2 linked regions of the Oryzias latipes genome follow. The protein of the gene in region 1 purifies or fractionates together with the protein of each later gene. This does not show direct contact. Links are inferred from orthologs where the notes say so. Each region holds a gene or a part of one and is shown in the gene's direction. Other genes may lie near its edges.

What was found.
Region 2: the proteins of snrpa (region 1) and SRSF protein kinase 2 purify together in Homo sapiens (affinity purification with mass spectrometry; 4 studies listed by BioGRID and IntAct, with this or other methods). This does not show direct contact. The link is inferred for Oryzias latipes from reciprocal best matches to the Homo sapiens genes SNRPA and SRPK2.

The regions. Positions count from the first base shown.
Region 1 is NC_019871.2:13,958,156-13,962,600, forward strand, and holds snrpa (U1 small nuclear ribonucleoprotein A), read left to right. Parts: upstream 1-1,577; 5' UTR 1,578-1,659; intron 1,660-1,906; 5' UTR 1,907-1,914; coding exon 1,915-1,987; intron 1,988-2,102; coding exon 2,103-2,275; intron 2,276-2,621; coding exon 2,622-2,786; intron 2,787-3,031; coding exon 3,032-3,190; intron 3,191-3,287; coding exon 3,288-3,376; intron 3,377-3,466; coding exon 3,467-3,626; 3' UTR 3,627-3,637; intron 3,638-3,722; 3' UTR 3,723-3,872; downstream 3,873-4,445. Other genes in the region: c13h19orf54 (UPF0692 protein C19orf54 homolog), read right to left, coding at 96-164, 272-453. UniProt on the Homo sapiens protein: Component of the spliceosomal U1 snRNP, which is essential for recognition of the pre-mRNA 5' splice-site and the subsequent assembly of the spliceosome. U1 snRNP is the first snRNP to interact with pre-mRNA.
Region 2 is NC_019864.2:11,768,432-11,771,474, reverse strand, and holds the end of SRSF protein kinase 2, read left to right. Parts: intron 1-1,758; coding exon 1,759-1,943; 3' UTR 1,944-2,508; downstream 2,509-3,043. UniProt on the Homo sapiens protein: Serine/arginine-rich protein-specific kinase which specifically phosphorylates its substrates at serine residues located in regions rich in arginine/serine dipeptides, known as RS domains and is involved in the phosphorylation of SR splicing factors and the regulation of splicing.

The DNA.
Region 1 (4,445 bases):
AATATTTGAATCCAAAGATCGTTCTGACATGATATCCCCTTTGGAGTCTAAAAATTGGTGCTATTTATTCCCGACAGCACAGTTGACTGACTTACTGAGGGCCATCCTGAATGAGGGAAGGCACATACGTGTTCATCAGCATCCACTGCAGGTCTTTCCTGAATCTAAAAGAAAAATGGAATACATTAGTTTAAAAAAAATGAGATATGTGAGCTTCAATAACAATCCAGGACTCAAATAAATACTTTGGATTGGTAGTGAACCTCCTCACCTGCTCTCCTTCTGCCTCAGCAGTAACCTCGCCTCGGTGTATTGCCCCTCTACAGGGCTGCTGTTATTTGCTATGATCTGGTACAGTTTCTTCGGTGGTGCTGAAGTTGGTGGAGGAGGAGGCGGACAAGCAGCCAGTGGAGGAGGTGGAGGAGGTGATGACAAGCTGCAGTCCACCGGCATAGTCTCAAAATCTTTCTACTCTGTCTGATCAAAACCAGCTCTGTTGGGGGGAAAAATGTACCTCCATTGATTTCTTTAATAACCACCAGGGAGAAAGTTAAGTACCATTAAAGTCTAACATGGGGCTCAATAACTGCTTACCTTTCACTTCGAGTCGTTTGCACACAATCTAAAAAGCTCGATGTTTACCTAAACATGTCAACCTTTGGACGAAAAAGATTTGACATATTCTTGCACGTGGTAAACAAACTTTTCGATTTAACTAGCTAACAAGCTAGTAGCTAACGCAGCTCCGTGCTCATATTTGGACATACTCGCTCTTCTTCGTGTGTGCGATCGCTCTGTACTCAACTGTTACACCACCCTCCAGTGAGTGATGATGATCATTCCATCACTAGTCATCTACAGTTTAACACACCATTTACACACATACCGTACAATGTATTTGGAAATAAAGTTGAAGGCACAAAGTTAGTGACAAGTCAATCCACAGTCAGTGTGTAACAGGACAAGCGAAGTTTTTTTCGCTTGTGTCTCTGGGTTTTTTTCTTTTTCTTTTACAGATTTTTGACATTTTCTTTTAATCTTTCCTGTCAAGATACGATACCACACTGATAGGACGATTAAAATATCTTGCTAACGCAAATACTGAAACAAATTTCGTTTTTGACCATTGACTGAAAAGGACCGCAAATACACTGGCTTTATTTCTATTTTTTATTCTTGTTTTATTTATGTATTTATTTTTACTGTTACTGTATTGTTACTTAGTTTTTCCCTCTGTGATTGCTTTAATTGTATATTATTGAACAAGATTCGTTTTAACAATCGATATTGCTTATAATTTTGTTCTTAATAGTTTTCACAAGGTTAGAGTGAGGTGGAGGACGATGATTCGCTGTGGCGACCCCTGATGGGAAAAGCCGAAAGAGAAAGAAGAAGTTTTTTACAAGGTTAAAAAGATTTTTTTATTTATTCAGAACGTAATTGTATTCTTTATATTTTACTGTTATAAATGTTGCATTTTTGTATTATATTCTGCAAATGTTCAATAAAAAAGAGAAGGACCGGAAATCACGTGCAAGTTGGATTTATCGCGAGCAGATGATACGGAAATTGTAAAGGCAGGTTTTTCATTCACCCATCGAAGTGAGCGTTCCTTTCGCGCCGAGCGGTGGTGGGTTTTTTGTTAAAACTGATACTCAGGTGCGGTTATCCGGTGTTTTTTCTCTTTTATAAAACCAAATGTCATAAGGTTACAGATAGTTCGATTAAATTAATCATTTATTGCTGATTTGTCTCAGTTTATACCGAGTTTTAAGCTTTATGCTAGTAATGCCTGCATGCATTCAGGGTTGTTTGCTAGCGCTAGCTGTTAGCCTGCTAACTAGTTGATAGCATTCAATTCATTTTATGTGACATGCTTTGTTCTTTTCCAAACAACTCTTCGTAGATTTTAAGATGACCACTCCAGAAGTACGACCCAATCACACCATATATATCAACAACTTGAACGAAAAAATTAAGAAAGATGGTAAGTTTTTTAACTTCTGGCCTTTCTTTGCTTTTTTGGTCGAAAGAACGATGTGGTGATAAATGATGTTAATTCAGATCCACCACAGCTTTTTATTTTCCTCTGTCTTTATTAGAACTGAAGAAGTCACTGTACGCCATCTTCTCGCAATTCGGTCAAATTTTGGACATCCTCGTCGCACGAACCCTGAAGATGAAGGGTCAGGCCTTTGTTATCTTCAAAGAGATCAACAGCGCCTCAAATGCACTGAGGTCCATGCAGGGGTTCCCTTTCTATGATAAACCCATGGTAAGTTAAACGTTGTTTTAATTTCCTCCATGGTTTTAAATTTACAAATATCGTCCTGTAAAATGTTAAAACTCAAATCAATCTTAGTTTTCAATATTCCTCTCTGCTGTCATGTGTTGTATAGTTTGTGAAATGTTTCAATTCCACAGTGTGCATCAAATGAAGGATTGATCTTTGTAAACTTAGAAGTGCTCAGTGTGAGAGGATCACTGAACACTTAACACTGAACACTTTTTAATGGTTATTAAAAATACATTTAAATAACTAGTAGGTATAATGGATTTTTTCTTTTTTTTAAGCACACTTGGTATAGTAATGCCACATATTTAAACGTGTCTTACTGCAGCGCATTCAGTATTCCAAAACAGACTCGGACATCATAGCAAAAATGAAAGGAACCTATGTGGAACGTGAGCGCAAAAAGGAGAAGAGGAAGCCCAAGCCTGAAGGAACAGGAGCTAAGAAAGCTGCTGCTGCAGCCATGATGGCTGGTGTGCCTACTGCTATGCCTGTAAGTGGGAACGTTTACTGTGACCAGAATGACATGGCAGCTCTTACTCGGACAAGTTAAAAGTGGAAAAATACTGTCTGCAAACTTGCTAAGTTTACCATAGCGATAGGTTGTTTGGAGATTTTAAGCTAAAATAACAGCAATTGATGGAGAAAAAGTTTGGTTTAAAAACCCCACAGAACATAATATCAACCTAGCAAACATTTAGAGGACCATGAACATGTTTACAATGTGTCATTCTCTAGGGAATGCCTCCTATGAGCCAAGCTCCCCGTATGATGCATATTCCAGGCCAGCCGGCCTACATGCCTCCTCCAGGCATGATGCCTCCCCCAGGAATGGCGCCTGGCCAGATCCCCCCAGGTGCAATGGGTCAGATGATGCCTGGCCAAATGCCTCAGCAGGTAATGATTTTTGTCCCCCTGTTCTTTACATGTTTAACCAAAGATGAACATTCCAGGTTTTGTTTCTTTTTTGTCAAACATTTGCCTTCTCTTACAGGTTGCAGAAAATCCACCGAATCACATCCTCTTCCTCACCAACCTGCCAGAGGAGACGAACGAGCTGATGCTCTCCATGCTCTTTAACCAGTCAGTATTGACTTGATAATTGTTTTATGCTTTGACTTTCTTTTCTGCCCAACATATCAAAGACTGACCGTGACCGTTTTCTGCGTTTAGGTTCCCTGGCTTTAAAGAGGTGCGTCTGGTCCCTGGTCGCCATGACATCGCCTTTGTGGAGTTTGATAATGAGGTTCAGGCTGGAGCTGCACGAGATTCACTACAGGGATTCAAAATCACACAGACTCATGCAATGAAGATCTCATTTGCCAAGAAATAATGCCAACACAGGTTGAAATTTGTAATTTGTTTTTTTCCTTTTTAAGTGGTGGAAGTAAAAGGCGTTTTTTTAATAAAATATTTGTTTTTTTCCCAGATTACATGTAAGTATGCTTTTTCTAAGTCACTTTGACATGACTTTAGTTTTAAAAAGTTTGAAAGCATTGCACCCAGTGTCTGACTTGTCAGACATTGTACCTGGAGCTTGGTATTTGTTGTTTTGTATTAAAGTAATTAGATTACTTGATTGATTTTCATTATTTCTTGTTTATGGATTTTTTTTTGGTCATCTAAAACTTGTATTTACTCCATCCTTCTCAGACTGGCACCTACACAGCTTCCTGCAAGGGGTGTAACAATTAATCAATGTATCGATTTATCCAACCGGATCTGAGGCAAGTTCGTAATTAACCTATAGCATTATAAAATCCTTTCAAAATAATATGAATGAATGATAATCGATCTCGGAAAATACTAGTTGAACTGAGACATGATCGTGTTTTTTTTTGTTTTTTTTTACCATAACTATTAGTAATGAATTGTTGTTTACTTGTTTTGTACACATTTATTTACACTAAATTATCTTGCAAGAAATCCAAGTAATCTGGTAAACGTCACTTTCACTGCACAGCACCCTGGTATTTATTATGAGATGCATGGAGTTGTCCTGGATTGATTTTAGGTCATAGGATCATTCAAAGTACACATATCTACTATGAATCTTGTCGGCAACCACAAACTGAGCCGAATTATTAAAATGCATTGGTACACCTCTACCTCCTGCCAATTCGTTTAAACTGTAGTGGGGTGTTACCTGGTT
Region 2 (3,043 bases), on another chromosome or scaffold:
TGCTGGGTTTGACTGACTGACTGACTGACTGACTGACTGACTGACTGACTGACTGACTGACTGACTGACTGAACTTAAAAATGAAAAACGGTCATCTAGCTGCAAGTGTGGAAGTCTTTCTAGCGTTAGCATTGATAGCAGCCCTAAAACACTTAAAGCACTTGTCATTTTAATTCCACTCATGCGTTATTAGAACATGTTATTGAACTTTTCCTTCTCATCTTCACTGGACAAATACTTTATGCTGGAAGGTTTTGAGGTGAAGACAGAAAGAATGTAATGGTTACAAACACCAAATAAGCTTATCATGACTAAAAGCCTGTTTTAAAACTTTTCCGCTCTGTCTGAGGCTACAGTTTGAAGTTGGAGTCCCACTTTTGGAATCCATTCCCAGTCGTCTTTAAACTATGATTATGGCTCTTTTAGCCAAAAAAAAAAGCAGCAGTAACTCCTTAGAAATTTGCCTCATAGTTGTGGGCGGAGCTGTAGGTGCAGAATAAGCCTGCCTCCCTTTCCCATCATCCATTGTTTTACACTGCTAGTCTGCAAGTCCTCACAACTCCAAGCTAACATTACAGGTGCAACAAAAATGGCGAGCACTATTGGTTCTGTCTCGCCGTACAGTGTCTTTAAATAATATGTGGAAATCCCTTCTGTTTGGGCCGGGTGAGGTATGAACCCGATAGAGCTGATGACCGCTGCACTCTCCTTTCTGCTAGTTTACTCTTTACAATGAGATGGGAAGATCCGGCCTTTGATGTCTCTATCCGAGGTCTGAGTCCACACTTCGTGTCTCCGTGTTCTGCCTTTTATCTGGTTTTGCTGCGTTAATCTAGACCCGCTTTCCGGGTCTGTCTCTGGGGTCTCTGCTGTCTTGCTCAAAGGCGCTCGGCAGGATTCTACTGGAGTCAAATCTCTGTTTCATCCCCCATCATGTGCAAAAGAAAGGGGTTACCACGGCAACCACATTTTTAAACTGGACTTCTTAAGAGTCTGAGTCTGTCGTATAAATGAAATGACAAAAACATAAAAGTGAATTTGAAGTCCCACTCTGATTGATCTATTGTAAAGCGTTCCTATTGGCCTTTTAATTAAAATTGTGCCGTTTTTAGCTAAAATTATAGAAAAAAACTGATTCATTTTCTAGGACACTGATTCTGCAGAGCATTGGTTCATTAGAAATTTGCCTCTGAGTTGTGGGTGGGACTGTTGATGATAGCCCGCCCTCACTTCCCATCATCCATCTGTTTACTCACTCTTCCACGAGCTCCCAGCCAAGCTAACATTACAGGTGCACCAAAAATGGCAGCCAATATTGGAGCTATTCTGCAGTAAGGTTTTGAGTCAGATTCCAGTTGTTGTGTTTTTAGTGAGTTCAAAACTCTTGATAACTCTCGATAGTACTACTATAGTTGGTACTCACTGCAGTTTTTCCACATGTACGATTTTTCATGTATGTGCATGAATGTTCATTAAAATAAGGAAAGCTTTGATGTTTGTGCTTCAAATGCATTAAAATGCAAGGATGAAAATCAAGACTGCTGGTATCTGAAAGTTCTCTCAGGAACACTTTAATCATGATCGATTCTGTTCCACATTCAGTAATAAAGGAAAATACCAAATGTGCCTCATTATTTTTTCATTTGTCAGGGTTTTCTTCCCTTTAAATTGTTTGAGAAAATGGAAAACCAGCATTCTCGTTTTTCATTTTCAGTCATCTCTGTCCTCCACCCTGACTCTGCTTTATCTGAACCTCAGGTGACCTGCGGCACATTACCAAGCTGAAGCCGTGGTCGCTGTTCGACGTCCTGGTGGAAAAGTACGGCTGGTCGCCAGAAGACGCGAGCCAATTCACTCAATTCCTTCTGCCCATGCTGGAGATGGTTCCTGAGAAGAGAGCCTCGGCCAGCGAATGCCTCAATCACCCCTGGATCAACTCCTAGCTAAAAAAACCCACAAAGGCTGATCCATCATCCTCTTCCTATTGTCCCAACCGTCCTGAAAGCCCCCCTCTGGTGTTAGCCCGTGGAACCACAGAGGAGCTGAAAGTCCTTTTCCACTCTTCCGTTGTGAGTTCCTCTGCCTAAACCTCTTCTTTTTCCACCTTCTTCCCCGAAAGGAATGTAAGAGGAGGCCGTAAGGGACGACACGGCACCAGGTTGGATCTTCCTTGAAGACGGAAGGGGTTTTCTGACGCTGCGTTTGTCGGTCTTTAACACTGTTTGGATTTGGCTACTACTCAGTAACTGCTATTCATTTTCTCCGATAATGTGATAAAAAGTCCAAAAAAAAACGCACCGACGACCCAGAGCTAAAATCTTCCAAGGCTCCTCAAAGACAGGAGGAGTTTATGTTGTGTGAGAATGAGAATGTGTTCAACATCTCCCCATGTAGTCACTTTTCCAGCCAGCGCCCCCTCCTGATATATAAAGGTTTACACCCTAACTTCTCGCTACAAAAAGGACAAAAAAAAAACTCTCACCCCACATTGATTTCTGCCATCTGGGTCACCACGGAAACGCCCTCAGAGGACATCACTGACAGAACAAGTGTGGAACAAATTCCTCCAATTCAGTCAGTTGTGGGTGTGGAGAAGTTGGGTTTAGGACTTAAGGAGACCAGCATGAAGGAAACCAACAGCAGACGCTTCGTTTTGTGCACTTTCTAAGGTCGATCGCATTTCGGACATTCCTCAGATTGTGATGGAATATTTTGGTGCCACATTCCAGGATCTCCACATTCCTACATCTTCTGCCTTCATTCCTGACATTGGTGTCCCCCCCCCATTCCTACCGTGGCACGTTTGAATTGATCGGTACCGTTTCCCCTTTTTCGGCCCCTCCCGAAAGGGCCGGTCACATGGAGGTTGCACTTGTATTTGTAAATGTCCTTCAGGGATTTGAAACCTTTGTACATACAGACCTTGGAAACACAGGAAAGCGACCACGGACAAAGGAAGCTTCAACCTACAAGACGCGTCATACCCCAGAAAAACAAGAAAAAAGATAAAAACGGGTTGTTGCTGACAGAACTGGACTTCCTC